Linked DNA regions of Rhinolophus ferrumequinum. The protein of the gene in region 4 purifies or fractionates together with the protein of the main gene of each other region. This does not show direct contact. Links are inferred from orthologs where the notes say so. Each region holds a gene or a part of one and is shown on either strand. Other genes may lie near its edges.

Evidence for each region.
Region 1: the proteins of SOX2 (region 4) and CUL4A purify together in Homo sapiens (affinity purification with western blotting; 3 studies listed by BioGRID, with this or other methods). This does not show direct contact. The link is inferred for Rhinolophus ferrumequinum from reciprocal best matches to the Homo sapiens genes SOX2 and CUL4A.
Region 2: the proteins of SOX2 (region 4) and CTNNB1 purify together in Homo sapiens (affinity purification with mass spectrometry; 3 studies listed by BioGRID and IntAct, with this or other methods). This does not show direct contact. The link is inferred for Rhinolophus ferrumequinum from reciprocal best matches to the Homo sapiens genes SOX2 and CTNNB1.
Region 3: the proteins of SOX2 (region 4) and HDAC1 purify together in Homo sapiens (affinity purification with mass spectrometry, with the first as the bait; 3 studies listed by BioGRID). This does not show direct contact. The link is inferred for Rhinolophus ferrumequinum from reciprocal best matches to the Homo sapiens genes SOX2 and HDAC1.

The regions. Positions count from the first base shown.
Region 1 is NC_046287.1:55,720,253-55,728,657, reverse strand, and holds the start of CUL4A (cullin-4A), read right to left. Parts: upstream 3,608-8,405; 5' UTR 3,129-3,607; coding exon 2,975-3,128; intron 2,019-2,974; coding exon 1,903-2,018; intron 1-1,902. UniProt on the Homo sapiens protein: Core component of multiple cullin-RING-based E3 ubiquitin-protein ligase complexes which mediate the ubiquitination of target proteins. As a scaffold protein may contribute to catalysis through positioning of the substrate and the ubiquitin-conjugating enzyme.
Region 2 is NC_046300.1:12,304,597-12,312,634, reverse strand, and holds the start of CTNNB1 (catenin beta-1), read left to right. Parts: upstream 1-4,152; 5' UTR 4,153-4,312; intron 4,313-8,038. UniProt on the Homo sapiens protein: Key downstream component of the canonical Wnt signaling pathway.
Region 3 is NC_046292.1:22,157,925-22,166,275, reverse strand, and holds the start of HDAC1 (histone deacetylase 1), read right to left. Parts: upstream 3,345-8,351; 5' UTR 3,237-3,344; coding exon 3,188-3,236; intron 1-3,187. Other genes in the region: tyrosine-protein kinase Lck, read right to left, coding at 7,213-7,415. UniProt on the Homo sapiens protein: Histone deacetylase that catalyzes the deacetylation of lysine residues on the N-terminal part of the core histones (H2A, H2B, H3 and H4).
Region 4 is NC_046285.1:62,840,421-62,847,571, forward strand, and holds SOX2 (transcription factor SOX-2), read right to left. Parts: upstream 2,645-7,151; 5' UTR 2,195-2,644; coding exon 1,232-2,194; 3' UTR 1,123-1,231; downstream 1-1,122. UniProt on the Homo sapiens protein: Transcription factor that forms a trimeric complex with OCT4 on DNA and controls the expression of a number of genes involved in embryonic development such as YES1, FGF4, UTF1 and ZFP206. Binds to the proximal enhancer region of NANOG.

The DNA.
Region 1 (8,405 bases), on a different chromosome or scaffold from region 4:
ATAAAAAGATGCTCTACATCATTAGGGAAATACAAATTAAAACCACAATGAAATTCCACTAATAGCTAAAATTAAAAAAACTGACAATACCAAATGTCGGCAAGGACATGGAACAACCTAGAATTCTCATATACTGCTGGTAATCTGCAAAATGGCATAGTCATTTTGAAAAGCAGGAAATATCTTATAAAGTTATATATACACTTTCCATATAACCATGAGAATCTACTCCTAGATATTTACCCACAAGGAATGAGAATATACGAAAGGTCGGACAATTAACTTCACTTACACAGTGGAAAGTTTGAACTTATTGTCCGACCATTCGTATGTCCACACAAAGACCTAGTCGTTATTGTTCACAACAGTTTTATTCATAATAACCAAAAACTGGAATCCCAAATAACCATAAACCGGTGAAAGGATAACCAATTGTGATACCTATGCTACTCAGTAACAAAAAAACAAATTACTGTCACATAGTATATGCATGAATCTCACAAGCACTACCCTAAGTGAAAGAAGTCAGGTATAGAAGCAGCCAGATGGCTCAGTTAGTTAGCGCCCAAGTTCTTCACAACAGAATTGCCGGTTTGATTCCCACATGGGCTAGAACAACGACTTGGAGCTGATGGGCCCTGGAAAAACACACTGTTCCCCAATATTCTCCCCCCCCCCAAAAAATGTCAAGTATAAAAAGATTGCAAAATCCATTTAAATGAGACCCTAGAAATGGCAAAATATACCGACAGAAAGCAAATCAGATTGCCAATAATTGGGAGTCAGTGGAGAAGACTAAATGGAAAGATGCCTCAGGAAACTTTTTGGAGTGGTGGAAATATTAATAGTTTATATCTTGATTGTGGTGGTGGTCATAAAATTGTATATATTTGTTAAAACTTATTGAAATACATAGTATATGTAAAATTATACCTTAATAAAGTTGAAAAAATGTAATACACAAACTTAAGGCAAAGAGGGCACATATATCCATCAAACTGTCAACAGTAGTCTTCTTTGGATGGTGGGAAAATAAATGGTTTTTATTTTCTTCTTTGTACTCTTTTTGTAGTTTTCATAATTTTTACAATGTACTCACTTATGTAAACAGAAAAAAATTTTAAATTCATATTTCTTAACAGGATATCATATTGCTACCCAAAATGTGGGTAATAATAGATTAGTTAACAAATGTTATTCTTTAAAAACAAAGTATCAGAAAAACCAGTCCGCTTGTAAATGGAATATCCAAATAGTAAAATGTACTTTTGACCATTTTTTATGTTAGAAATAGAACATCATTACTTTAAATTAAATATATCAAAATTTGTTTTGCATTTTAATTGCAACAAGTAATCAGAAAACACAATTAAGTGGGAAAAAACAGCTCTATTAACAAGTGAAACCATAATAAGAGTTTTATATATAACATAATGGAATTATAACATTAATTTGCTGCGTATTTGGAAAATATTAAGTCATGTGGCTCTTAGAAACACACCTCTCTCCTGTAATGGGATAACTTTAGATATCTTTCTAGGAGCTTAAGCCTGAAACAAAACAAAAATCCCCAAACCACCAAAAAATGAGAACACTCATCGACTCTGGACATGTTGTCATAGGACTCCTGTCCTTGTTGGAGGCAAACACTTGGATTTCTAGTATTTCCTTCATTATTGACTCTGAAACAATACTGAGGACCACATAATCCACATCTGTATCACATTTCACTAGAGTTGGATAATCGTGTGATTTAGACAACTATAAAAACAACCAGGTAAGTGAGACACAGGATGCTGGCCTCATCACGTCCTGAAGATGTCCTTGTCTAAGAAAATTCAGGATTTATATCTCAATGAGGATTCTAACAAGCTCTACTTTTTCCCATACATGGCGCCTTACCTGGTAGAGTTCTTCCAGGTTGTATTTGATGGAAGTACTACTTTGTATGGCTTTCACTGCCTCATGAAGTTTCTGCCAGGTGTCCTGAGTGTAGTTATCAGGCAATTTAGGTCTGTCTGTAAATCCAGATAGAGTCAGTGAGGAATGACATCTATGCTAAGTCATAATCTTTCAAAAAACAGTCTATGAAAATGTACTTTAAAAGACACAAGTAAGGAACACAAATTAGGTTTTTTCAATACAAAGTATCGTATTTATAAATTTGTTAGGTTACAGACTATGCAACCGTAACATCTGTTTGCCTAAATACACTTCATATTGATACTTAGGATAAAAACACACAGGAAATATACAAATCTTAGTTTCCTTTCACATAAGTTGACTTTACAAACGTATACATGGAATACTTAAGTTCTATACAACATTTAAAGTCGAGTTAAATTGTTCAACGTTGGGAGGAAGGTGAAGAATAAGCTTATAATTGCTATCTCTACATCAAAGGTGCTTCTTATTTTGATAGCATCAGTGATACAACTGATGAAAAGTGGAGGAAGTAATAAAAATTACATCACGAAGAGCGTCAGTAGCTGCTACTTATTCTTGCTCTGCCATGCCAATCAAGATACTTGAATTATTTGGCCTATTTTATTCCAATTGGACCAACTATACAGATTAAGGAGAAAGCTGCTACCAGTAAACTCAACCCGCTGCCCTCACCGCAGCTTAAGCCGACATTCGGAAAGGCCCGCGCCCTCATCGGGGGAGCCCGGGGACCCCCACCCTACTCTGAGAGTCTAAAACCGGGACCAATGACCGCCAACTGGGAAGGAGACTTCCGAACAGTCGAGGGTCCAGCGGACCACAACCCCCGCAACCCCCACCGCCACTGGTGCTTTGAGGCCGCTCCGCCCAGCACCTCCAGCCCTCGCGTTGCTTCTCCCCAGGCCGACCCCCAGCTCTGTCCCGGGCCGCCCCCCCAACTCCATCCTCGGCCCCCAGGCTCCTCCCTGTAGCTGTCCTCTCCTCCTCGGCCCACTAGGTCTCCCGTCCCTAGGCCGCTCCCTGTACCCACCTCGGAAATTCTTGATCACTAGTTTCTTGGAGCCGCCGCTGCCCCCTGGCTTGGAGGTGACGGCGGCCGCGGCGAGGGACGCGGGCTTGGTGAGGCCGTTGGTGTGCCCGACGAGCGCCGAGAAGTTGCCCTTCCTGGGGGTCTCGTCGGCCATGGCTGCGGCCGGGAAGCAGCGGGCGCCCCGCCCCGTCCGGCCGCCTCCTCCGCCTCCTCCCCGACCCGCGCGGCCGGGCACCCGGGCCTCTGCTCTCCTTTCCCCTCAGCAACTCCAGGCTCCGTCAGCGCCGCTCAGTCCTGGCCCAAACGCCGCTTTGGCCTGGCCCAACCGCCGTCCGGTCTTCCCCCGGCCCCAGCTCCAACGCGACCGTGGGCCCGACCCGGCCCACGACCCCGAAGCTCGCGAGCGCGGCCAGTCCGCGTCAGCCGCGGTCCGTGTGAAACTTGCAACAGTCGAGGGGACGGCGGAGCGCAAGCCCTGACAGCTCCCGGGGGCCCGGCGTGTCCCGGAGCACTGTAGGGGCGCGCACGAGGCGTCCTCGCCGAGGGGAGGCGGGGGAATCCCAGCACAGAGACCCCAGCCTTCCTCAGCCCGGGCGCGCTGCCATGCCGGGTCGGAGATCACGCTCCCGCAAATACTCCCTGCGGAACCGAAATTCGGGGAAAGTGGGGTTGGAGGCGCGGGGCCGAGAACGGACCACGGACCGGAAGTGACGGGCCGGCCCGGAGCTCAAGCTCCGCCCGGTCCTGGGGGTGGGTACCGTCATGGCGCACATCACTATAAACCAGTATCTGCAGCAGGTAACGTTCGTTGGGTCCAATCGCGCTCGGTCTGCGGAGTCTTCTCCTTCCCTTGGCCTGCTGGACTTTGGGGTCCAGTTGGGCGGCCGGCGCGTGCGTGGCCGGGGTCGAGGTAGCCTGAGTCCTTGTTAGCCAGACGGGACGACTGAGGCAGGCACACCACTGTGTTTCTTAGGGACCCCGGGAGTACGCCGGTGGTCGCTGCCCTCAGTTTAGGGACGTGAATATATGTGTGTGTGGTGGGGGGGAGCTTAGTCCTAGCAGATGCTGAAGGGACCGTTAACCACTCGAAGAAGTAAGGGGTTCAGCCCTTGTGTAGTCATCAAAAGCCTGACCTAAGGGCCTGACTTGGAGTTTTGTTTCGCACAGACACTGGTGGAAGTAGGAGTTGGAGATAGCAAGTAATGCTGGCTGCTAGCCTCTACTCATAGCTACCACAGTAGACCTAGCCTTAAATAAAAGCTCTTAGGATAGGTCTACTGTGGCCTTATCTTTGCAGAGTTAACATTAAGTTGAGCAAGGACATAGACATTGGAGAACCAATATGACTATAGAATCTCTCTAGAATTTTATGTTTTTGTTAACCTTTTACAGTTTTCTTGCCCACTCCTAGTTCCATTTCTTTTTTTCCCTTTTTTCATTCAGGGTGCTTGAATGGTGTCGTACTCATGTGGACGCTGAATGTAATTTGTCGACTAGATAAGTGGAGGCATATAGAAGGGTGTGAAGCTCGCCCCTAGGCTGGGTGGTAAAGCTGAGTGATTTGCCAGTGTTCAGACCTACTCATTCTAGCGAGGAGTAAAGATAGTATTCGTGCTGGTCTGTCTGACTCTTTCATATTCCCATTTCACCAAACTACCTCTTGGTCTTGTTCTCTGCATTCTCAGAGGAGCACAATGAGAATCTCCTTCAATTGTCTATCTTATTTGATGAAACCATTTGGGGTGATGATGAGAAGAAGAATGATAGTGCTTGTTGAATAGTTACTAAGAACCAGTTCTTTAAGATAGTTGGTCACCATCTCTGCCCCCCCCCCCCGCCACACACACACACACACACACACACACACACCAGTGATGAGAACTTTGGCATCCTTTATCAGCTTCCTTGAGGCAGGGGCACTGATGGGACCAATATTTTATGATTACTCAGAATACATCAACAAGTAACCCTGCACAAATTTATTCCATATTGTAAAGTGAATCCTTAAAAGCTGGATTGCTGGCTCAAAATGTAAGTGCTTACATAGTTTTGTTGAATAGTCAAGTGGCAAAATCTTCATTAGATAGGGTAGTGTAGACTTTCCCAGCTGATTCCCTGAGTGGTACAACAGATGAGGAATTGGTTCCTTTTGGTGTCCTGGTGATTTATGCCCCATCTCTTCTGGCTGCAGGTGCCTGGGCATAGGATTACTGGATCGGGGAGTAGGTGTATGCTCTCACTAGTAGGTACACCAGTGTCTCAGAGTGGCTGCCACTTCACCCCTTCCCTAGCAATGCATGAGAGTTTCAGTCACTTTATATTCTTGGAGTGCTTAGTATGGTCAACCTTTTTAATTTTAACTCTTCTGGTAGATGTGTAGAGATATCATGTTGCATTTCACTTGTGGGTAAGATGTGAGCACCTTCTCGTTTGTGTACCATTTGGATATTTTCTTTACGATGTCCCTGGTCAGAGTCTTGCGTGGATATAAAGTTTATATATGTAATTTTATTGTAGATAAATTACACTATATATGAAACTTTATGCTTGGCTTTCTCCTCACATTGTTGGAATTTTTATGTCATCTTTGATACACATAATTTAAAAATAACATTTGGTTTTCTAATACAAATGTCTTCTATAATACAGTCTTCCAGTATAGAAATATATAAGATAAAAGCCTTCTCAGCCCTCACCCCAAGGGGTCAGCTGGTGTGGCGTGGGGTCCTGCACTTCTTTCTGTGCTTGCGTGTCATACATACTTTGTCTTTTTCTCCCAGATCAAGTTACGCAGTTTTCCTGTGACTCTTTTTTTTTTAATAGAACTTTATTGGGGAACAGTGTGTACTTCCAGGACTTTTTCCAAGTCAAGTTGTTGTCCTTTCAATCTTAGTTTTGGAGGGCGCAGCTTAGCTCCAGGTCCATTTGCCGTTGCTAGTTGCAGGGGGCGCAGCCCACCATCCCTTGCGGGAGTCGAACCAGCAACCTTGTGGTTGAGAGCCCACTGGCCCATGTGGGAATCAAACTGGCAGCCTTCAGCATTAGGAGCACGGAGCTCCAACCGCTTGAGTCACCGTGCTGGCCCCTCCTGTGACTCTTTTTTTTCTTTTTTCTGTTTTCTTTCTTTTTTTAAAGCATATTGCGGACACATTCCTATGTTATTACATGTAGATTTATTTGATTCTTTTTCACAGCGTACTGTGACACCATTTATTTAGCCATTGCCATCCAATTTTTCTTTTATATTTAGATTGAATAGAACCGCCTTTTGAATTTTGGAAATATGTGGTTTATAAGCGCTTTCTTTTCCCTTAAGCTGTGTAAGTGAATTTTCAAATGTTTGCTTGTGTGACCCAGTAAAACTAGAATAAATCACCTTCATTAATAACCAGATAATAAACTGGCTTATTCTGCCCTCTCATTGTTTTTCACAGTAAGTCACCTGTTTATTTGCCTCCAGACGATCTCATTTTGAAATATAGTTATTGTTTGCTGGCTAAAGACAATATTGACTATAATATTTTGATTATGCTGACCCTTTCAAAGTAGGGAAAATGAATTTTGGTGTTATACAATGTGTTGTTTAGGTTCTATTAGAATAGAGTGTTTTATTTTCTACTTAGCTTTTCTTTTCTCCAATGCTGCAGGTCTATGAAGCAATCGACACCAGAGATGGGGCATCCTGTGCGGAGCTGGTATCTTTCAAGCATCCTCATGTTGCCAACCCACGGCTTCAGGTATGTAAAAAGAGTACACACACAAAGGGCTACAGGCTATCTGGCTTCCTAAGAGAAGTTTAGAGTTTGAGCTTCTACATTGCTGATTATATTTGGCAGTGTATAGGCTATACCTCAAACTGTGTAAACCAGTTTCGGGAGTAGAAGCAGGCATTTATGTATTTATGTGTTTATTTATTTTTAAATTTAAAGTCTCCTAGGTTGTTCTAATATACAGAACATATTGAAAACCATTGCTCCAAATAGAAATTAGTTCCAGAGACTTGATGAGACTCAGGTTCAGCTTGCTGGCCAGACACTCCATAGTTGGTGCTATGTGTTTCGTATTGATTACATCAGGGGCATGCACATCTGTTTGCCCATTTGTACTCTTAAGACTGAGTTCTTCAGTATAAAATTCCCTGTGAACCTTCCATCTGATGGTTCCACTCACTGGTGGCCATTGTCTGAATCAATTATTTCATTAGAGACTGTAGAATGATGATTTTTCTGAATTTGATATTTTTCCCCTCCCACATTTATATGTGTATTATATCAGTATCAGAGTGGACTCATTGATTCCCTTTTTTTTCTTTTAATTCAGTGTGCTAAATATAACCCATTGGGATGCTCATATTATCTAAAATTTGGCCATTGAGAAGAAAGGCAGAGTTAGAAATAAATGTCAGCTAGTCTAGCCCAGGGCACAGAGAGGGTGGTTCTATCACCAGGCACCTGAGGAGTGATTCCTAACATGGCATCTTTAATTCATTAGACCTTATTTATGTAAGGTATTATATGCCTTATTTATTAAGCACATAGTAGCTACTTACTAAATATTTCTTAACTAACTGGCTGTTAAACTTTAAGATATGTATGAAAGTGCCTTACACTATTTCCTAGCCTGTGGTAGATAAAACATTGTATTCATCTAGTGCCCTATACCTAGTTCATGCTTGATGAATATTTGCTGAAGTAATGAACCTTTTGTTTAGAAGTGCTAAAGTGTAAAGTGTTACTGTTAACTGTAAAGTGTAACTTCTTTTGAAACACAGGTTTGTTTAAATATCTTTCTACACATTGCATTCTTTCCATGATTGTTAATTTTATTTTTGCCATTTTCCTTCATATTTAATTTAGTTGGCTTCTCCAGAAGAGAAGTGTCAACAAGTTTTGGAACCCCCTTATGATGAAATGTTTGCAGCTCATTTAAGGTGAGGAAGTAAAACAAGCAAATTTTGAAATTGCTGAATCGACTAAGGATTTTATTTAACATCATCTAATGCTTGAAGCAGTGAATGATTTACTTTGAAAAAGTAGAAAAGTGTGTTTATAATTTTACTTTGGTAAAGCCTGTGAAAAATGTGATATTTAAAAAACTTTAAAATGTTAATAAACATGTTTTTCATTTCAAGGATCACACTTGTTTTTAAAAGTTAAAATTGTATTGTGATCGTGTCTTCATATGTCTATTGTGTGATACCATAAAAAAAAAATCTCTTGATAACCATCATATTGGCTGTACGGTGGCCTTTCATTTAGCAGGATGTAGAGCCCACCATTGACTTGGATTTTTCAAGGAAACATGCCCACCTCATTGCCTGATTGGGACAGAAACTAGAGCTGAGCAAAGCAAATGAAATACCGCTTTTTATTTCTATTTCATTTCTACTATATTTATCTCTAAACCATCAATTCAAGCAAAGCTTTATATC
Region 2 (8,038 bases), on a different chromosome or scaffold from region 4:
TTAAAATTTGCATTGTTTAAGAAATGAGTTAAAAGAAAAGAATCATTTTTTTTTCCTGAACACTTTGGAATGTGAAAAATGGCTTGTTCTAATCTTATTCATGAATTACTATAATTCTATTATTTTTAGCAGCTGGAGTCCAGAAATGATTTTTTCGATGAATTTAGGATTTTGCCGCAGTATCCATCTGCAGTCCCAGAATCCTCGGGTAAGTTAATCCTTCTTTCGATGGGAAACGCCTTTAACCTTCTTGTGAATGAAATATCTGCAACCATTTTGAAATTTTTAATAGAGGTGTGTGTGTGTGTGTGTGTGTGTTGTATGTTGGGGGGGTTATATCTCCAAAGCATAATTTCTACGCAATACAGCCGTACTTATCTTAGTTCTTAGAAACACTGACAAAACATACACCTTTGTGCTCTTTGATTATAGTGGATGATGTGTCCATTGCTTCTCCTTCACTTTCTGTGGTAGCCATTAAAATGTACTCCCTTAGTCTGGCAAGGACTGTTGTGTCAAACCAATGAAGGCCTGGAGAACACATAACCCCCAGCATGAAGAGTGTTCCTGGCATAACTGAAGCGGCCAGGAATATCACCACCACTGCTGCTGCCACCGCCACCACCAAGGCCATCGCCTCCCACCAACTTCACCGCCCCTCCCTTGGTCTGCAGTGCACACCAGATGCAAGCTTTCCACAGTAGCTCTCTGCCGAATTTGCCCAGTAGGTTCCTAGATTACTCCTGTGTGCGAGAATAGCCAACCATGTAGTCTGACAAGAAGTATTTACAACTACTTAGCCTGTTCAGCTGGAAAGAAATCAAGAGATAACAGTGAACCCTGAGATGATGTATTGCAAATCAAAAAGTTCCAATCCATAAATAGCCCACTCGGTGAACTGCTAAATGAAAAGCTGATCTTGACTACTGTCCAGTGTTTTCAGGTTGTCAAAAGAAATATTTTTAACAGGCATTCTTAGAGAGTTAGGATTTATTGTTCATAAATGCATGGAGTATTACTTAGTCTTACCTTTCTGCTGGGAGAGGATTCTTCCCAGAGAGATTCGGATATAGAGTCCAGAGGCCACACCCTCCTTTCACTGTTTTCTACTGTTTCTGTTGACTCTCAAGTAAGGTTGATTAACAATTACAATTTTATATTACTTTAAGGGACCTAATCAAAAGGAGCCAGTCATCCATCTCCCTCTAAAGGGAGCTTATTGTCTTAGTGCTCAATAAATGTTTAATGAATAGATTTGATAGAGTTAACTGTGCAGAAAGTGAACGGGTCTTCTTTAAAGTGCTGCCCGGATTAATGTTTCTGTCGGAAGTGCAAAAACAATCTGGGCATTTATTTCTTTGCCTAAAGGTGATTCAAAAGATGGGTGTTAGTGAAGGAGGATGCTTTGTATTCAGAGTCCATGTAGTCACTGCTTGATGTGCCAATGGTCTGATATTATGGCAAGTAATGCCTCCTCTTTTAAACCAGCTGAAGACACTTCTGGTTTCTAGGAATACAGCCTGAAATTTAGAACCATTTGTCTTTTGCAGTTTTACAAAATGAACTAACTTATGTCAAACCCAAGTGGTTGGCTCTAGGAGGAAAATGTGTACAAGGATAATCAAGTATTTTTCACAAAACGTATTGCCCAAGGTTAATTTTTAAGAATCGTTGTTTTACAAAATCACTTATTTCACCAACTCATCAGGTATTTTGTTGTATTTCTCATTGGTTTAATGATGGCATTTGTCTTCATTTCACAGAAGTTATTCATCTCATATTTTTGGTCAGACAATTGAAACAATTTGTTTTTTGAGATAAGTAAATACAAATTCTCAGTAATTTGTTAAATTCAACTAATTTTTTTTAATGCTAGTCACCCAGTAATTCTTCAGTACACTTAAATTTGATGGGAAAAACAGCTTGCTGCATTGTTGCAAATTTTATATTTCCTTTGATACTGTGTGTTTGCTTAAAGTATTACTAGGGACTTAAAAATCTTAATTCTAAATTTAGGTTAAGACATCTAAATTATAGAAAAGTCCTTCAATTACTTTGGCACCTGAATAGAGAAATATGAATATAGAGTTTTTATTCTGTAGGTGTTCTAATAGTGCAAATATTTCTTAAACAGTTTTAACAGTGTGCCTTATTTAGCAAAAAAACAAAAACCAAGAAACTGAACACAGAAAAAGGGAACATCTGTACAAAAAAAAAAAAAATCTTTCAATATTGATTAATCAGTCATCTGATTTTAAATGTATGGCTAATCAAATCAACTGTATATTCCCTAATTCTGTGTACGAGAATTAAAATTGGGGATTAGTACCTGGAAATGCTATTTACACTTTCGAAAACGTTTATATTAGAAACATTGCTTTGATGAAATACCTTTTTCTGCTCAATCTGTTTTAATTATGAGCAGCCCGGTTAACCACAACCATTTGCAACACTTCCACAGAATTACTAGCAAAGATACAAATGTAAAAGTCGTTCTAGACAATGGATCTCAACGAACATCATCTCAGTCAGTATGTGGATTTTATCCACTGCAGTGGCCCACATGTGCTATGGTGATAGCAGCTGACATTACCACTGTATATAGGAACATATCTTTAAGACATTATATATATATATATTTTATATATATATATTATATATATATATATTTTATATATATATATATATATATAATATATATATATATAAAGAACCTGTTGGGCCCTGAAGCATTAGCTATGCCTAAAACTACATGTCCCACTCCATGAGTGAATGAGGAAGTGGGTTTCCTGCCTGTACCTACTATAAAGACCTATTGTTTGCATGCATTAATTACAGGGATAAAAGCCTCAAGATAACTTTCACTGTTGCTTTTTGTACTCTCTCCATCGTTTTGGAGAAAAATAAGCATAAAACGACAGGCTAGAGAAAGTGAATCGATCATAATTGTTTCAGCTTTGACAAACGCCAATCTTGCTGGATTACAATGGAGACATTTCCAAGGGAAATCAAGACCAACTTCAGCCTATTAAAACGAATTAGAAAATGTTTTTGAAGGATAGAAAATTAGTTTTAAAAAATGAGAAGCTGCCTAATCGGTATAGCTCCTTCCATTCACAACATACTTGGACCTCTCAAATAAGTAATACCATAGAAATGCATCTTCTCCAACCTCCCCCACCCCGCAAAAAAAAAAAAAATTGTTGATACTTAGTAGCACGGTGGACCCACATAAAAGCGGAATCTATAAGAATTAACCTAATTGACAGGGCTGTACACTTAGCCCATTTCCATCCGTCATTTGTTCACAGTAGGTACTCATAACGACTTGTTGAATTACGGGGCCAGGCGCCCATTCTAACGAAGAGTTCCCAGCCTTCAGGAGTGGGGGTAGCAGGCGGCTCCGCCCGGTACTTCACTTCCAGATTCAGGCTGAGCCGACGGGTGGGATGCGGGACCCACGATCCGGACACTGGGGGGCTTGGGGGTGGTGTGCAGCTCCGCTGGGAGCCATGCCCTTCAGGGAGTGTGTGGCCCTCCCGCAACGGCGGCGGAAGCCCTAACCCGCCCGAGTCCCCCAACCGACCGCGGTGCGGAGGCGGCGCCCAGAAGCGCCAGTGGCCCCACGGGCCGCGACCTCAGCGCCCGCGCCTCCGCCACTGAGTCCCGAACTTCCGCCCTCCCAGGACTTGTGCGGGCTGCTCCGCGCGGCCCCCGAGCGCCGGGGCCGAGATGCCGCCACCCGCGGGCGGCAGAAAGCGTGCGGCAAGCCCCGCGTCGGGTCTCACGGCTCGGGGCACGCGCGGGGCGGGGGCGTCCGGTTCGGGACAGTGGAGGATCCCGGTGCCTCCTCCCTCCAGCCCACCCCGAACTACGGCGCCCCCGCGGGCCGCCCTCCGGTCCCGCACGGCGGGGCAGCGGTGAGGCTCCATCCCCGACCGCGTCCCGGGAGCGCGAGGGCGCCCCGCCCGGGCCCCGGGCGTTGGGACGGCGCCCGGCGGCTCCGCGGCGCGGGGACTACTTTCCGCGTCCTCCCGCGCCCCGCCCCTTGTCCTCGCGCGGCGGAACGCTCCGCGCTGCGCCGCTGGCGGCAGGATACAGCGGCTCCTGCGCGACTTATAAGAGGTCCTTGTGCGGCGCCATTTTAAGCCTCTCGGTCTGTGGCAGCCGCGTTATCCCGTCTCCGAGAGCGGAGAGCGAGGGGAGGCGGAGACGGAGGACGGTGCGAGGAGCAGCTCCAGTCCCCGCCGAGCCGCCACCGCAGGCCGAGGACGGTCGGACTCCCGCGGCGGGAGCAGCCTGTTCCCCTGAGGTGCTTGGGCGCTCCCTTCCTTACCCTTCCGGGCTGCTCCCGCTCCCTCTTCGGAGCCAAACTTCGTCGAGGGCGCGCGATCGCGGCGGCGGCTGAGAGCCGGGCTCGGCGCAGCCCCGGAGGCCCGGAGCGGGGAGCTGGGGGCGCCGGGGAGACGGCGGGGGCGGGCTGCACCCGGGGGCGGAGGGCGGCGGCCGGGCCCGGGTTTCGGTCACCCTGCTTCTCGGGGGTTTTGGGGGCGCCGCTGGCGGGGAGGGGGCGCCGCGAGGGCGCGTCCAAGAGCTGGGATGGCTGGCGTGGGGGGCGGCGGGACTCTGGTTTCCGTCAGGGGCTCCGGCCGCGGCCGAGTTTGGGGGAGGGACCCTGCGCCTCGGGATGCGCCGGGGCCGGGGTGGGGGGCGGGGTGGGGACGGGGGCTCCGCCTTCCCAGCGGGGAGTTGGGGTACGGGCGCCGGGCCTGGGACACCACCCTGGGTCCCCTCTGCCGTGGGGATAGGGCTAGTGGACTTTCTCTCCAGATTCCCTCCCTCGTCCTTAAGGAAAATTCTTAAGAGAATTGTTAGTATTTTTTTTTTCCACGCTCCGCCTGAGTTTGGCACTGGCGCTTGTTTCAATCGAAGCAACTTTAAACCTTAGAGGAACCAAACTAGCAGTGCAAACGGTGCGATGCGTCAGTAGGATTTGCACACAGGAGATCCGTGTCTTGCACCTATGTTTTCTTGTGCCGTGCAGGTGAGTGAAGCGTCGTGCGGTGCCCCGGGAGTTGCAATGGATGGCATCGGGCGTGAGACCCCAGTCAGAATGCGGGCTGGGGCGCCTGCCTTCCTGTTTCTGACCAGTTAAGGCGCGGGGTGCAGCCCCCGACTGCTTCGAGGATCTCGTTCGGAGGAATTATTTATTCCCCTAGTTTTATGGCAGCGAAACTTGATTTTTAGAGCACGTTTGCTTTTCAGCGGCGTGAATGTTTCCCTCGCTACGAAACGGGCCGAGGGAAATTCAGGCGTTGCAACTTCTTGCATTGTTTTGCCTGGGGAAGAGGACTCGAACGGAGACTTTGGAAGTTTCTCGCAGCCCTCTTCTGAATCCGCTAAACTGGAAGGCTTTGGCAGGTGGGGGTAGTTGTTCCCTTCGTTTTCTGTTCCCTTTTGGAGGGAGTATTGTCTCCTAGTTTGTATCTTTCAGACATCTGTGGCCTGCCCCCCACCCGCCCCCCGGTTGTGAGTGGTGAATGAAGAGAGACCGGCCTGCTGGTATGCAGAGGTCGGCAAAAGGAAATCGAGGAGTGGTTTTCGTGAAATGAGAGCTTTGTGTCATGAATAGTGGTGGCTTAGACTAGACATCAACTTGAAGAGACGGCTATCCTTTGATGAAGTCTAGGCTAATGTTTTTCGGATGGCTAAGTTACTAAGTATTTTGTCTGGAATTTAGGAAGCCGTTTCATTATTGCCTCTCGGTAAACATTCAACACCCTCATATGTCTTCGTGTTAACTAGTCCTCATTCTAGGAAATGTTAGACATAGCTTAAAATGTTATTTGCATAATGCTACTACGGTTTAGTATCTGCTTAAATTAGTGACATAAACGTATTTTGGAGATTTTTTTTGTTTTTTTTTTTTTGTCTGACCTAAGGTTGCTGCTGCATTTACTTTACTTTTACATTTAAAACCACAAAGTCTCTGGATTAAAAAAAGAGGAACAATAAAGTGCATTTGATAATATCCTTCCACAAAATTTGATTAATTTGCCCCCGATATTCATTACTTTGACCTAGTCTTTGTTCTGAAGGCCACGTCCAAGGGCAAGGCCCTAAAGTGATTGCAAAAGTAACTTGAAAAACTTGCAGAAGGCTATTCTATAGGATTAAAGGAATGTTGAGACTATTTAAGTCTGAGGTCCTTGAGGGGGAAATAAAAAACTGTACTAGAAAGTTTAGAGTAGCATGTAATTTAGAGTCCCAGGCCTGAGATTCTCCCAGAGGCCAGAATAGTCATTTTAAATAGCTTTCAGGAAAAACCAAGTTTTTAAAAATGTGGCTCATGAAAAAATGAGGCATTTAACAGTGTTCGCGTGTCAAGAAGCATTCAAGAGTGTTCTTTCTTTTGGACTAATTATCGGACTGCTTCCTTTACCAAGGTTATTAGGTAGAAAAATGTATATTCCAGTATTAAAACTTAAGAAACTATGAATTGAGCTTCCAACTGTTACCTAGTGATGACTGGAATAAAAATTGTTCATATAAATGAAGTCTGTTTTCATAAATAGTTCCCTCCTCCTCCTCAGCAAGTTTCTCTAAACGTATTTTGAGATGTGGTGCTTAAGAAAACTAGCTTCATACATCCTTTTCTTGGTTGTTGGGAGGAGTGGGAAGAGGAGTGTTAAGTCTTGCTGAAACTAGAGATGTGAACAATTCAAAAGTTTGACTATCACTCTAAGTTACAAGCAGCAGTGAAATGAAAACCCCATAAATGGGCTACATAGTATGTTCAGCCTACTGAAACTTTTGTTATTGAAACAGTACATCTGTCCATGATTTTGTTTCTCTCATGGTTTACTAATTGCTGATAATCATTGTAGATGAGTAGGTGGTAAATTTTAAGTTTGTACTTTGAGCTTGGTTGGAAGCCTGCTTGATTGCTAACCCACGGCAGAAAGGATGAATGCTTTTAGAGCAGGACAAATGTCTAATAAAAAGTGTTGGCAACCCTTTTGTAGGGCTACATGTTGACTTCTGACATTGTTTTTGAAAACATTAGTTGTATTAACTTGGTTGTTTCCTTGTAGCCCTCTTTTTATTGGTAATACAATATCTTTTGTTGAAATAGGTTGATTAAAAAACATTTTTATGCCATAAAAGTAAATATTAAACATAGACGAGGAGCTGCTGCTACTGCTTCTTCGTCCAGAGCAGGTAGCCTCTTGTTACCCCTCATTGAGAGGATAACTGATTTGCAGAGTCAGTTCTCATTCTTTAACAGACTATTGTTTGTGTAATAGTGTTGTAATTATGAATGTGATACATAACTAGGCTAATAGGCTAAAATGAATATATAGTTTTTAGCGTCTGTGAAAGAAAAATGTGTGATTAGTGTTGCTTGAAAATGAGTAGGTGTTAACTCGTATAGTTTTTCATCACTTAAACTCAGGAGAAAGTTCTTTATTTCCTCTGTTTACTTTAAGAATGCTTCTTTTGTGTTTCGTGCAAGACTGAGCTTGACTTGGTTTAAAAACCTAGATCCCTCTGTTGAGGCCTGAACCCCCTGTTATCCTTGAAGTATGTATATAATCTACTTTCTCCTGAAGGAAAAAGCAGCTCTTAGAAAGTCAATCACATTAGGAACCCTTTTAAAAAAGAGTTTACTTTTTTGACTTTTTAAAAATTGTGGGCAGCTTTTCTTTTAAGAGACATTCCCCACTCCCAGTCTCCCTCAGACCTGACAGGCAGCAGAGTGAGAGGAGTAGTAGGGCATGTTTTTATCGCATGCTTTGGTCATGTTGAGTGCCCTCCAGTGGATATAATCTAATGCTTGTGACTTTTCCCACCTACCAAGTTTGTGTGGAATACATATATTTATAAATAGTTCTGATGAGAAAGCACTGGTAAGAAACCTTGTGAATACTAGAATGATTTATTCATATCAATACTGCTAATTGTAAGGTTGGCTTGCCAAAATGTCATCTCAACCAATATTTGCAGGAGAAAGGTCAGAGTAAAATTGGGAATTAAA
Region 3 (8,351 bases), on a different chromosome or scaffold from region 4:
CTTAGACTTGAGGAACTAAGATACCTTATCTAGACGGCTAAGGGAGTACCTGAGGGTGGTGCCCAGAAACACCTTCTTAACAGTTTTGAATTGAGTTGCTGAGAGAGTTTAAAAGAAATAATCCTTTTAATTCAGATACTACTTTTACACTTTAGATGAGCTTTTCCCACTGTTCTCATAGTTTTTCAGTTTCACAGAAAAGTGACCTGAGGCCTAGAAAGGTGAAGTGACTTGCCCAGTACTGCAAAGCTTCTGAGTGGCAGAGCCAAATTTGAGTCCCAAGTTAGTGACCTCACTGCAAAACTGTTTCTTAAAAGTAAGAAGTCTGCGGCCAGATGGCTCAGCTGGTTAGAGCGCAAACTCTGAACAGCAGGGTTGCCGGTTCAATTCCCCCATGGGATGGATGATGGGCTGCGCCCCGGGCAACTAAAGACTGGAAACGACAACTGGACTTGGAGCTGAGCTGCACCCTCCACCACTAGATTGAAGGACAATGACTTGGAGCTGATGGGCCCTGGAGAAACACACTGCTCCCCAATATTCCCCAATAAAATTATATATATAGAAATTATTAAAAAAAAAAAAGTAAGAAGTCTCCCTTCTCTGAACACTGGGTCCCTTCTTTTCTTCTTTTTAAACTGAGAATGTAGAGGTCACAAAACTGTGCAAACTGATACGGTTACAAAGTCAAAGGATCCAGCCTCAAACGTGTCTTCACTACTGCCCAGCAATCCTTCCAAATTTATTTTCCTAGCACCTTCTTTCACAACAGCTATTTAACAGCTAACTCTCTTCAAGATTCCTGCTCTACCAACTGCCCTCAGGAAAAGGAATATTCCCCAACTTCATCTTGAAAACTCCCTCGACTCTCCCCACCAAACTTACCTACATTTGAACTTTTTCTTGCCACTTACCTTCTCACCAAGAAGGAACTTCCTCTTGAAGGCTAGTGTCCCTACCTGTGCTCTGGTGTCCATCTCACCTGGTCTTTTTAGGAACCTCCATCATGACTAGCCCCTCTCCTGTATCTCCAACCTTTCCTCTCTGGCTATTTTCCCTAAGAATTTGAATATGCTCAACTCTCAACCATTACATCTCTCCTTTATCAGCAACCCTCTCTCTGCCCTGGACAAGTTTCATTAAAAAGGGTCCAGCCTGATGTCTCCTCTTCACCCATCCATTCATTCCTCACGCTACAGCAATCTAGCTTCAGTTCCAAACCTAGCACGGGAAACAGTTCTTGCCAACACTTGTCCCTCCCTCTTTTGGCTACTGTAACCCAACACTTTCTGGTTCACTTACATCTCTGGCTATTCCTCTGTATCTTTTTATTCATTTAATCAGCAAGCATTTACTGAGAGCCAACTATGAGTTAAGCACTGTTCTGGGGGAAGAGCATATAGAGGTAGACTAGACATTGTTCCTTTCCCTAAGGCATTTACCATCTGTAAGTATAAAAAAGTAAATGGGTAATTACAATACACAGTGACAAGTGCTATGGCCGGGGAAGTACAGAGCACGAAGGACATTAGACTTTTCCACTTCCTTAGAATTCCACCCTGGATCCTCTTCCGTTCACCCTGTATAACTTCTTGGGTGATGGCATCCTCTTTTGTAACTAAAATTCCCATCTGACAACTATGTATGCTGACGTCTATCAAAAATCTCCTCATTTCTATCTTCTGAACTGCAGACCAGAACGGCTAACTGCCTACTGAACACGATCTAGTTGGATGTCCCCCAGACATCTCAACAAGTATTTCTTGAAGAAAAAAAAAGTTATCAACGGACATGATCTCCTCCACTCGGCATCAAACTGCCCAAACCAGAAACTTGGGATCCTTGCCTTCTTCCTTACCCCAACCTTCATGAATTTAATTTCTGTCCTAGAGCGAGAGTTCTAAGGTAGAAATCTGATGATGTCACTAACCTGCATAAAGCGTCTATGATTCACAAGTGCCCTCAGCATAAAGTCCAACTTCCTTAGGACAGTACGCCCGGCCCTTCGTGACCTAGTCCCTAATGCCTTCTCCAGCCTCATCACCAGCAACCTTTCCCTCACCCCTGTTCCCTCACTTCTACACTCTGCCCTCAAATCTGCGCTTCGGCCCTATGGACACATCCCTGATGCTCTTCAAAGCAGCTGTCCCCTCTCTCCCCTCTAAACTGCTGTCATCTTTGCCTGCCCTGTGCCAGGCTAATAACCCCTGTTCTTCAGATCCCAACTGAGATGGCACCTCCTTCCCTGACTCCTCACACTGGGCTGGGTGCCTCTTCTCCTGTGCCCCGGTAACACTCTGAAAGTTCCTTTATCCCAGCAAGATAACAGAGAGCAGTTCTCTGTCACTGTCTATCTTCCTCTCCAGACGGAGCTGAAGATGGGAAGTGACTCGATCAACTCCATGGCCACCAGCAGCTCAATGCTACCTAGTGCAGAATGAGGTCTCCAGAGAGTGTGGTGACATGAAAAAGTCTGTTTTAACAGCTCGCATCCTTTAGCTTCCAACCCGAGGGACCCCCTTGCCCAGCAGCAACTGCAGGCCCTGCTCAGGGGCTGGGGGAGGGGCAGTGGTGCCGATTAGTTGGTGATTCCTGAAGGACTCTCCCCAAAAAGGATGAGGAAGGAAAGGGGCAGTGAAAAGCCTTTGTACACTCAGCAGGAACACATACCCTTGCACCCCTCCCTCGGATTCTGCCTCCGGCCCTTGGCCTCAGCCTCCCCTCCAGGAGTCCCCTCAAAGTCTCCTCATCAGACGTCTTCCGAATTCCCCACCAAGATCACCTCAGGCGACTCTCTCGGGAGACCTCAGCCTCTTCCCTCAGTCTCGACCTCCTTTCCATTCCTCTGAGCCTCTTCCCTCAGGTCCGACCTCCTTCTCTCAGCTTCCTTCCTCAGCCTTGATCTCCTTTCCTCTGAGCCTCTTCCCTCAGTCTCGACCTCCTTCCTCTGTCCCGACCTCATTCCTCAGCCCAGACTTCCATCCTGAGCCTCCTCCCTCAGTCTCGGCCTCCTTCCTCCCAACCTCCTCCCTCAGCCCGGACCTCCTTTCCCTTCAGCCTCCTCTCTCAGCCTCGTCTTCCTCTCAGCCTCCTCTCTCAGCCTTGCCCCAACGCCTGTCTCTCCCAGCCTCCCGCTCCCGGATCCGGCCCGGCCAGGCCCCGCCCCCGCTGCGAGGACGGTGCTCACCGTCGTAGTAGTAACAGACTTTCCTCTTGGTGCCCTGAGTCTGCGCCATCTTGCTCGCCTCCCGTCCCTCCCGTCCGTCCGTCGGTCCGTCCGGCCTCCCGCCCGCAGCTCTGCTCAGCGTCCGACCCAGGGGGGAGGGGGCGGGCCTCCAGCCCGCCCCGCCCGTCCCCTCCCGGGCTCACCTATAGCCGCGCAGCCCGGGCACCGCTCCAGCCAATCAGCTTACGCAGGGACGGCCCGGAACTCGGCAGGGGGCAAGGGCAGCCCGGAGGAGCCCGGAGAGGCAGCCCAGGGCCCCCTGGGCCTGTACCAAGGTCCGCGACAGGGGGGTGGGGGAGCTGCCCGGGGACCGTACCATTAGTCCCGGGGGAAGAAAGCAGGTCTGTAAACTTCACAGTCCCATTTCGGTGTTGGAGGCGTGCTTGGAGATAAGGGGCCAACTTTGTACAATTTTACACAGAATCCACTGAGGTCTACAGGGGGGAAGTGACTTGCACAAGGTCACTCAGCTAGTGAAAGGGCTGAACGTGGATTATAACTCAGATTTGGAGGAAAGAGAATTAAACTGACAAACGAAATAAAAGTGCTGTGGGCCAAGTACTGTGCAGATTATCTCAATTATTCCTCACAACAGTTTTGGAGGAGGCCTTTTTATCCCCATTTTATAGATAAAGATATTGAAGTTGAGACCTTTGTGACTTGCTCAGACTCACACAATTAGTAATTAAATTCAATTGTTTTCTTTTTCTTGTTTTTTATTAGTTTTTCCTCTAAATTCAATTTTCAATTGTACATATATTTTGAATGCCTATTATACATCAGGGACACTGTAACAACGTGGCAGAACCTAGTCTCTTTCTCCAAGCCTACCTCCCTGATGCAGATGCCCAAGAGGACTGAGGAGTGCTTTTAGCTAGGAGAAAACTGATGGTCCCCTGAACCTGGAGCAGGGTTTCTCTAGCTATTGGAACTATTAACATTTTGGGCTGGATAATTATTTATTGTAGGGGACTGTCCTGTGCACCATAGGATGTTTAACCGCATTCTTGGCCTCTACTCGTTAGATGCCACTGGCACCCTCACCCCAAGATGTGACAACCAAAATTGTCTCCAGACATTGCAAGTCTCCAGGGCAAGGAGGGGAGGGGTTAGAGGAAGTATAAATTGCCCCTCACCCTACACTTGAGACCACTGCACTAGATCAGTCATCAACTGGTCAGTATTGAAAGCTGAAAGGCTGAAAAACACTGTGATGGGCCATTAAAATAACACTAATATTTAGTGAGTGCTTACTATGGGCCAAGTAAGTTACTCACTCATGGTCCTATAGTCAATAATATACAATATGCTTCTTTACATTTAAAGAGTGCTTGGACAATTGGGTTCCTCAGTTGGGAATTGTATTGGGCCATTAATAATGAAGGTAATAAGAGATCTAATACTGGGCAGTTCTATTAAAGAAATAACAAAAGGCCAGGGAATAAACTCTATTCCCAATTTTGTGTTGCTGCTTCCTAGCTAGGAAACTTTCTGGGCCTCCATTTCCCTCTTTGTAAAATGGAGAGGATAAGAAAACAAGTTGACAGACTCTATGGCTGCACAGTTTCCAAAGGAGGTTGTGGGTGTGGCAGCATTTTATAAAATGCAGGACATCACACACTCAAATGCCAACAGAGATCAGGCAGGTGATGTAAATGACTGGATATATATTATATTTACATTGTTTATATTAGTTTGATTCAGGCGCTTTGTTTGCATATTTTTTAATTGAATTCTTTTTCACTCTCTTCAATTGAATTCCTTTTCACTTTCCCCCATCTTTCCACAAACACACTGCCATCTTCAGGTATCTTCAATTTTCTCACTTTTTAATGGAAATGTGGGTGCCAAAAAAATTTCATTTTCCTCTATATTGTAAGAAGAAGAACATGAACATGATGATAAATAGCTGCTAATAGTTTCATTGTCTGGGAGCAAGAGAGAGTGGAGAGTATTCTGGCAAAAGGAGAGCCCATACCCCATCCAAACGGGGTGATCACTACTCAGCTCTAGGACAGATAAGTGCAAGGGAGCCAAACCTTCCTGGTTTTTCAAGAGATACAGAAATCTGGAGATTTATGCAAAATCTATCTAGTTTTATAAATTGACTGCTAATTCAGTCTATTATCAACATAACAGTAAGAGCCATCCTTTAAAATGTAAGTCAGATCATGTCATGGCTCTGCACAAATCCTAGTAAAGCCTCCTCAATATGTCTCCTACAAAGGCCACAAAGCCCCAGAGGATCTATCGCCCTCCTTCAAGCAGCCTTTACTTCTAGAGCTGGCCAGGGAAGCTTCTTCCTCAGGCTGTTTCCTCTGCCCCACCACTCCTCCCCCACACCAGGAGGCTCACTCACTCACTTCCTTCAAATCTTTGCTCAGTCACCTTCTCAATGAGGGCTTCTCAGACCATTGTCTTTAAAAATGTTAACCTCCCCAAACATGACATTCCTAATTCCCCTTACCCAACTCTATTTTCCTCTTAGCACTCATTACCTTGTAGCATACCGTATCATTCACATCTTTGTGATGCTTATTGTCTGTCTTCCCTTGCTAGAATGTACGCTCCACAAAGGCAGAAACTGTTTTATCTACTGTATATCCTGAGCCCAGAACTGTGCCTGGCATACAGTAGATGTTGAATAAATATTTGTTAAATGAGTGAATTAACTCGATGTTTAAAAACATCTTGAAAGTGAATCAAAACACATCTGAAGCCAAATATAGCCCTTGAATCATTAGCATGTAAAAAAATGCTAGGGCCGGCCCAGTGGCTCAGGCGGTTAGAGCTCCATGCTCCTAACTCGGAAGGCTGCCTGTTCAATTCCCGCATGGGCCAGTGGGCTCTCAACCACAAGGTTGCCAGTTCAATTCCTCAAGTCCCGTAAGGGATGGTGGGCTCCGCCCCCTGCAACTAAGATTGAACACGGCACCTTGAGCTGAGCTGCCGCTGAGCTCCCGGAGGGCTCAGTTGGTCAGAGCGCATCCTCTCAACCACAAGGTTGCCAGTTTGACACTTAAGGGATGGTGGGCTGCGCCCCCTGCAACTAGCAACGGCAACTGGACCTGGAGCTGAGCTGCGTCCTCCACAACGAAGACTGAAAGGACAACAACTTGAAGCTGAACGGCACCCTCCACAGCTAAGATTGAAAGGACAACAACTTGACTTGGGAAAAAAAAAAAGTCCTGGAAGTACACACTGTTCCCCAATAAAGTCCTGTTCCCCTTCCCTCCCACGCAAAAAATTGCTATTGCTCTTATGTAATAGGAGGGAGAGGGTCCTGGGATATATACTAGGAGGTTCTAGGTAGGAGTCGCCCTGAAGCCTTTGGGGTGGGGATTTAAAGGGTTTCAAAGAGCCCGTACAGCAAAGAGTCGGGACCTCCTTTTGGCCCCCAGCGTCAGCAGAGCTGGAAAAAGTTCAGACATCCCCTCATCCCATGGTTCACCGCAATTCAGGGTTATCATCTTCTGAACCCCCACTCTCCCCTCCCAAGGAAGAAGAGATAGGAGTGGGGAGCAGAGAGATGTAAAACCTTTATCAACAAACAGACATTTATTGAGCTCCTGATGTGTGACAGGCACCAAGGAGGAGCACACAGAGGTATTAGAAAGGTCTCCCCCTCCAGGAGAGAGATTCTTTAGGACCAGGAGAAAGGCAAAAGGGGTGGGCAGAAGCTGGTGTCAATCACAGGCCTCTCTCCTTTAGTGGTCTCAGGAAGTAGGAGGGCCCAGAGAGGGATAGCTTGGACAGGTGTCCAAGACATATATGTACAGGCCACACATACACAAGGCACATGTGCAGAGCCCACACAACTCAAGAACCTGTGTATAAGACACAAGTGGATGTGTCACATGTAGATAGGATTCACGTGCAGGGTCCATATGTGCATAGGCCACATGGGAACGGCACAAGAACTGCTTCTTCCCCAGCCAGGTTGGCTAGATGCGGGGAGGGCTCCACGTCCCAGCCAGCTAGGCCTCTTAGGGCTGGGGCTGGTACTGGCCCTCCGTGGCTGTGAAGAAGTCCTCCAGCACACTGCGCAGGTAATCAAAGGTGGGCCGGTCCTCTGGACGCTCTTTCCAGCACAGCATCATGAGGTCGTACAGCTCCTCCGGACAGTTGTCAGGTCGTACCATGCGGTAGCCTCGTTCTAGGTTCTGAATCACCTCAGGATTGGTCATCCCTAGAGGTTGATGGGAGAAAGGACATCAAGTCTCCAGGTATAGGAAGCCCACAGGTGGCGCGATGATCAGAATATTTAACTGGCACGGTGTGAGCACCAAACCGGAAGATCTTGCTCTTCCTCAATGATAAGGCCTGCTAGATGTTAGTCATGCCCCTTGGAGTGTCTGCTTTGGCTTAGACCCTCAATAACACACACCTGTAACATCTATTGGTTGTGAGACCTTGGCCTCTTTGAGCCTCAGTTTTCTCATCTGAAAAACAGAACAAATACTATGTTTCCCCAAAAATAAGACCTAGCCAGACAATCAGCTCTAATACGTCTTTTGGAGCAAAAATTAATATTATAGAATGTAATATAGACTGGGTCTTATATTAATTTTTGCTCCAAAAGACACATTAAAGCTAACTGTCCGGCTAGGTCTTATTTTTGGGGAAACAGGGTAGAAGCTCCTACCTCAGAGTTTTTTATGAGGATTGAATGAGATAGTGCATATAAAGTACCAAGTATAATGCCTGCAGAGGAGATACTGCATAAATAACACTTGTGATTATTATTATTTGGCGGGGAAGGGTGCGGTGGTCAGGGCCCAGGGCAGGATGGGAGCCCACAGCAAGGACAGTGGTGCAGCTTCTCAGGAACATGAGATGCTGCATCAGGAAGCCAGATGGATCAAGGGCCCCAGCAAAGCAAACCCTGCATAGGACAGAGATTTACAAGGTCCCTCCATGACCCATATGAAATAATTTTTGGTCCAGTTCCCTTCCTTTGTTCTGGTCCTGGTCCACCTGGCAGCCTTCTAGCATGTGGACCCCGAGAGGAGCTGATCTGGAAAACCGCATGGTAACAGCAGAAATATTGCTCCCTGTTTCTAAATTTCCCATGTGGCCTCTTAGTTTTCCTTCAGACTCCTGAGAGGAGACAGTGACAGGCAAT
Region 4 (7,151 bases):
GGACTAGAATACCAAGGTTTTAGGTATTTTGCTTTCTTGGCTGAGCACAGTATATTCCCCAAGGAGTTATGTATAATCACAGTGTTATCCAAATAAATGAAAGACTCAAGAATAATTTCAGTGTCCATATTTCAAAAATTTATTTATCTCAAACTGTGCATAATGGAGTAAAAACTTAAGTTGAAAATGTACCTGTTATAAGGATGGTATTAGTTCAAATATATATACATGGATTCTCGGCAGACTGATTCAAATAATTCAGAGCCGAATCTTTAAAATACAACTACGGAAAATAAAGGGGTGGGGGGAGAACCTTAAAATATCACAATAAATTTACAGAAATATTACAAACCATAAGAAAATATTTCAAACACAGTAATTTCATGTTGTATTTTTATCTGAACACAATGGAAAGTTGGGAAACAAAAGCTATTATAAATTACCAATGATGTCAACCTGCATGGCCATTTTTGCTTTTAAACAGTAAGTTAAAAAAAAAAATTTAGTACAATCTAAAACTTTTGCTCCTTTAAAGAAGACCACGGAGATGGTTTTGCCAGTACTTGTTCTAGTTTGTTTCCTTTTGTACAATTTTTAAACAATTAAAATGTCCAAAATCTTAATAATTTTCTTCTTTCCACGTTTGCAACTGTCCTAAATTTCAGCTGCAGAATCAAAATTCAGCAAGAAGCCTCTCCTTGAAAAATATTGGCAAATTCTCAGCTTATAAACAATGGACATTTTGATTGCCATGTTTATCTCGATAAATACTGTACAAAAGTTGCTTGCAAATATTAAAACATTTTTTCGTCGCTTGGAGACTAGCTCTAAATATTATTGGTAAAGACTTTTGCAAACTTTCTGCAAAGCTCCTACCGTATCACTAGAACTTTTAAAAAGTTTTGTGTAGTTTTCTTTCCTCCAGATCTATACAAGGTCCATTCCCTCGCCCTCCCTACCCCCACCCCCACCCCGTTTTCTCTGTACAAAAATAGTCCCCCCAAAAGAAGTCCAGGATCTCTCATAAAAGTTTTCTTGTCGGCATCGCAGCTTTGCGTGAGTGTAGATGGGATTGGTGTTCTTTTTTGCAGATGTCATTTGCTGTGGGTGACGACTTTTTTGTTTTGAGCGTACCGGGTTTTTCTCCTTGCTGTTTCTTACTCTCCTCCCATTTCCCTCGTTTTTCTTTGAAAATCCCCCCACCCCCCACCCCCAGTTCACTGTCCGGCCCTCACATGTGCGAGAGGGGCAGTGTGCCGTTAATGGCCGTGCCGGGCACCGGGCCGCTCTGGTAATGCTGGGACATGTGAAGTCTGCTGGGGGCGGCCGGCTCTGGCACCTCGGCGCCGGGGAGATACATGCTGATCATGTCCCGGAGGTCCCCGGCCTGGCAGGGCGCCCTGGAGTGGGAGGAAGAGGTAACCACAGGGGGGCTGGAGCTGGCCTCGGACTTGACCACCGAGCCCATGGAGCCTAGCGCCATGCCAGGGGTGCCCTGCTGCGAATAGGACATGCTGTAGGTGGGCGAGCCGTTCATGTAGGTCTGCGAGCTTGTCATGGAGTTATACTGCAGGGCGCTCACGTCGTAGCGGTGCATGGGCTGCATCTGCGCGGCGCCGTGCGCGTTGAGGCCCGGGTGCTGCGGGTAGCCCAGCTGGTCCTGCATCATGCTGTAGCTGCCGTTGCTCCAGCCGTTCATGTGCGCGTAGCTGTCCATGCGCTGGTTCACGCCCGCGCCGAGGCCGGCGCCCACCCCGACCCCGCTAGCCATGCTGTTGCCGCCCGGGGCCAGCAGCCCGCCAGGCAGCGTGTACTTATCCTTCTTCATGAGCGTCTTGGTTTTCCGCCGGGGCCGGTATTTATAATCCGGGTGCTCCTTCATGTGCAGCGCTCGCAGCCGCTTGGCCTCGTCAATGAACGGCCGCTTCTCCGTCTCCGACAAAAGTTTCCACTCCGCGCCCAGACGCTTGCTGATCTCCGAGTTGTGCATCTTGGGGTTCTCTTGGGCCATCTTACGCCGCTGCCCGCGGGACCACACCATGAAGGCGTTCATGGGCCGCTTGACGCGGTCCGGGCTGTTCTTCTGGTTACCGCCCGCCGCTGCCGCTGTGGAGTTGCCGCCGCCGCCGCCGCCGCCCCCCGAAGTTTGCTGCGGGCCCGGCGGCTTCAGCTCCGTCTCCATCATGTTGTACATGCGGGCGCTGTACGCGGGCCCGGCCCGCCGGCGACCGCCGACCCTCGGCCCGGCCGCGACTTTGGGGGCCCGCGGGCGGGGGGAGAGGAGGAGGGGAGGCGGGCGGGGGTGTCGCGAGCGCAGGGCTCCGCGAGGAAAATCAGACGAAGAATAATTTGGGGGAAGAAAAGAGAGAGAGAGAGAGGGAAACTGGAATCAGGATCAAAAAAAGCGCTTCCCTCCTCTTCTGGCCGATCCTGCCGCCGCCGATGATTGTTATTATTATTTTTTGGAAAGGCTTAAGCCTGGGGCTCAAACTTCTCTCGCTTTCTTTCTCTCTCCTCTTCTTTCTCTCAGTCCTAGTCTTAAAGAGGCAGCAAACTACTTTCCCCCTTTGCAAACACTCTCTTCTCTGCCTTGACAACTCCTGATACTTTTTTGAACAAGTTAATAGACAACCATCCATGTGACGGGGGCTGTCAGGGAATAAATGGGTTTCCAGCGACCAATCAGCGCGCGTCGGCTCCTCCACTCGAGCCCAGCCTCGCAGCCGGGTTTTGCATGAAAGGGGGCGGGGCCTGCTGGTCCGCGGGCCGCGCGGGGGAGGCAGGGGGAGGAGGGGGATGGAGGGAGGGGGAGGCGGCTCCCACTGCCAGCCACTGAGAAACCTTTGTATCCCCTCTCGCAGCAACAGGTCACACCACACGCCTTTTCGAAGGAAGTGGGTAAACAGCACTAAGACTGCGATTTTCTTCTTTCTTAAAACTTAATATTGATTTACTTTTTGGTGCGGGCTCTTGAAATGAGGAAGGGGCGCGAAAAGCCGCTAAGGTGTGGGGGTGGGGCAGGAGAGAGTGGGTGGTTCAGGGCGACTGTCCTACTGGTATTTCAGGAAACAGGCAGTGTTGGATGGAGTCGGTGTGTCATTGTTCTCCCGCTCCTCTGCACACTTCCCCCACCAACTCCAGCCTCTCTCGTGCTTTTCCCTCGCCTCTCTCTTCCCCTTGCTCCTCTTTCTCCACAGGTGCCGACACTCGCTCACGCACTTCTCGCACTGTCCCGACAAGAAGTTAGGAGACGGAACGCTCAATCCCCCAAACCTTTCTTGCTTTCACGCAATTTGTTCTGTTTTAAAAGTAAATCCTGCGCGGACTATGCGGCCGACTCTAGAGCGAGGCTAGGCAGGCCCTGGGTGAGCTGCCGCAACCTCGCTCTTCCCTCCAACTCAGCTCTGGCGCAGGAAACCACAGCTTGTTCCCTCACCCTCTCCCACCAGTCTTTCCCCATTCAGTCGGTGCAAAGGGGATGCACGTCCTCCCTCTCCATTCTCCTGCTGAGCCTCCCCCAAAGGATTTTAGTTGTGCCGGTTTCAGAAGGAGGCTGGGGGCAAGAAAAGAGCTCAACAGAAGGACGCTCAGAGTGCAGGCGGTGGGGGAGCGTTAAGCTCAACTTCTTGGCATCCCAGGGCACTGTGTGGAGGTGGCATTTGGGCCGCACTCACAAACTCCCTCCCACGCAGAGTTCACAGGACTCGAGCAGAACCAGCCCTGGCATTTCCCCCTAGTGACTTCTACCGTGATGGCCGCATTTCCCGGGCCGCCCGGGTCTGGAGTGTGCGCTCGGAGGGGGCTGTAGGCCTGGGAGGAGGGAAGGGTAGTGCTCGCCAGGCACAGGTGCAGGCATTGCCGGCAGGAAGATGGAGGCCAGGACTGGGGAAGAGGGGATCCCAGTAGGGCCAGGGCTGAAGGAGGATGGGATGGGGGCGGGGTAGGGACTCAGAAATCCTGCCTGCCCTGGACCCAAGAGGGTAATTTTAGCCGCTCTCCCATTGTCCGGACGTAAAGATTTCAATAGGTAGGCGCTCAATGCGGAGAGCAATGGCAGCACGTCCGTTACAAATAGGTAGTTTTGTTTCTCTTGTTGTCGCTACACGGAGTCAAACAAAGCCCCGTCTAAGTTTCCTTCCACTCTCTTGTTGGGATCTTTGTGGCTAAAATGCACTTGACTACAAAGGGGGGGAACCCTGATGCCATTTCTTTTTTTATAAAGGGCTTAAACCATCAGGGTTACTTATTTTCTTTCTTCTGTAACACTCTCCGCCCCCTTCTCCTCTGATCCACCCTTAGTCACCCTAAGAAAATGTACTGAATAGTATCTGTCGGCCATGTTCCATTTATTATCTTTACAAAACTTTGCATTGTTTTGTTCTTTACTAACCTTCTTCCCATAACCGTCATCACCCCCACTCCAACTTCTTCAATCCCTGCCCTCCCAAGTTTTTCTGTTCTTGTCAAACTCAAGATTAAGTATGCTCACTGGAAACCCAGAAAAGTTGTGAAAAAGAATCCTGTAGACTTTTCTTAATAATTTATTATTTCTAATCACGGCCCACCCCCCTTACACACACACACCCGCAGGTTCTCCTTTTTCTCTTAAGTTATGGTTTGTTTCAGTTCTTGGGAACCCAGGAAGGACGAGACTGGCCTTCTCAAAACGCATAAATGTAGTCACTCTTCAAAATAAAGCAATGTCTTTTTTTTAATTGAAAGTGTAATATTAAGCTAATCACGCACATGAAGATTAGGAAAGAGAAAAGGTTGAGTTGATCTGGAGAAAAGGCGGCCACGGCCTTTTCTGAGCGTCTTGGTTTCAGGGATGTGGCTGGTGCGCCCCCTACTGGTGAATTCGCTTTCCCAAGACTATGGATTTTACCTTTAAAAGAAGGTGTTTGGAAATAAAAAAATGGGGGGTGGGGTGGGAGGAAGATCAAACTAAATACACGTAATCTAAACAAAAGAGAAGTTAACATATCATATAAGCTATGGAACCGAATCATAAGACTCAGATTTAATTTGCTTAACTTAGAAATGTACATATATAACCTCGAGAGAAGTGGGAGGTTAAATCATGGGGAAAAAATAGGTACAAATTGTGAGATTCAACATATGAATGAATTATGATTGTCCAGATTCCACGAAGGGCAGACCAAGCATTCACTTTATGATTGTGTATGCATTGATCTGCGCTTAGTATAATAGCATTATTCCAAAAAAAAAAAAAGAAAAGAAAAAGCTTATGGATAATTAAGTTTGAAGAAAAAAACCCAAGGGGTTGGTATGGGTAATGGCGGTGTATATGTATTAAAATAAATGTTAATAGTGGATGGTTATACAGCAAATGTTTTTAACCTTTCTCTCTCCCTCTCTCTCAAGGGGTAGTAGTAAGAGGCACAAAATTTTCCTTAAGATGATATATAAAAGCTTTTATACATCGTCAGATGTCTGTGTTTGTGCCTGACTCTATAATAATTCATTTAAGAGGTTAAAGGGGCTGGCTAGGTCTTTTGTTAATTGCTTTTATCATATAAATAAGCTATGGAAATACATTACAATTGTGTTATCATTGGTTGCATTTATTTACAGCTTTATTTTAATTAAGCCTGCTGTACTTATCAAGGCAATAAACTAACTGGATGGCATTTATGCATAATAATGTGCTATGAAAATAAGATTAAAGAAGATGGTGATAGCAGAAACAATTTTCTCATTAGACTTTTTTTAGAACATATGCATTTAAAAAAATCAGATCACTGGCCACTCTATTTCAGTTCAGCACCATCACTGGCCCCTAAATATAATAATAACTATAACAATCACGATGTATGATAGAAGCAGTACTGTTTTAGATTTATAACAGACGGCTACAGTACTAATAACAATACACCATTGACTACTAAGGAATCAAAATAAGACTTGAAAGAGGGTGCTTCATCCTTCAAAAATTTTAAATGTTGCCATTGGTACAATTTATGAAAATTGAAGTGCTTAATATAAAGAGAGTGTAACATTTCCCTTCCATGGGCAGCAAAAAGCTGCATACTTTTAGAGCAAGATTAGAAATTAAGAACAAAAATGCATAATTCCTGAGATATTCGGATTTGATTTTGTTCTACTATAGGCCTCTGCCAAGAATCCTTAACTGATTAAGTGTAGTTCAATTTTACTTAAAAATCTTTTGCACTGATATGTCTCTCCTAAACTCCCCTCATCCCTCCTCAAGTATTATATCTGAAGCCAACTAACAATTTTGTGGATAGGGGACTGTAGACTTATTTTTTCTTCTTAGTGGCAAATAGAGGTTTAACTTGCAGTAATTAGGTGAGAACTAGCCAAGCATCGTACTATTATGATGCTTGTTAAAAAACGCTTCTTTTCTGCATCTGCATTTGAGTGTGTTCCCCTCCTCTCTTAATCTTCTTATGGAAATGAAGGCAAACGGCAGGGAACCTGCAGAGTCTTGGAGAATGTCCTTGTTAACTGGAATTTCTCAGCATTGCTAATTAGCAGAGTTTGACGACGACCACCAGTATTGGGGGGGAAAGCTCTGTTTAACCACTCACAAACCATTCTGAGGAAGAGCAGACTAATTTTATTTTGTAATTAAAATCTGAAAAGGGCCCTATTTGACAGTTAGGGCTATGAGAGTTTTATCTCCCCGTGAAATAATTACTGCCTTGATAACTCAATTTTCTGAAAAAATGTCAACTGTGGGCTCCAAAAGTTTTAATTTCATTATGTAAGGAAAAAAAGAGAGAAAAATAGAAGAAAATGTACAGAAAGGTTTTCTAATTCTGGAACTAGTTAAATGTATTAGGAGCCAGATTTGGCCAAATGAAGGTGTTTTTTTTTTTTTTCCTCCCTTTTTTTGGTCACGTTTCCTCCGGATCTTAACCTTCCAAACATCTTCACTGAAAGTGACCATAGTAGTGATTTTACTGCAGTAAAAGAGATCATACCAGTGTGGCAAGTCAGAGGCAAATAAAACTAAAAACAGAGGTATGGCAACCCAAGAAAATTTCCTGATTTTAAAAGCCAAAAATAAAGGAAAATTCCAGTGTTTACGACAATGCTGATGCAATCTGGTAAGATGAGATTTTATTGATATTTATTCCCTAACACAAGAAAACTGAGAATTACGG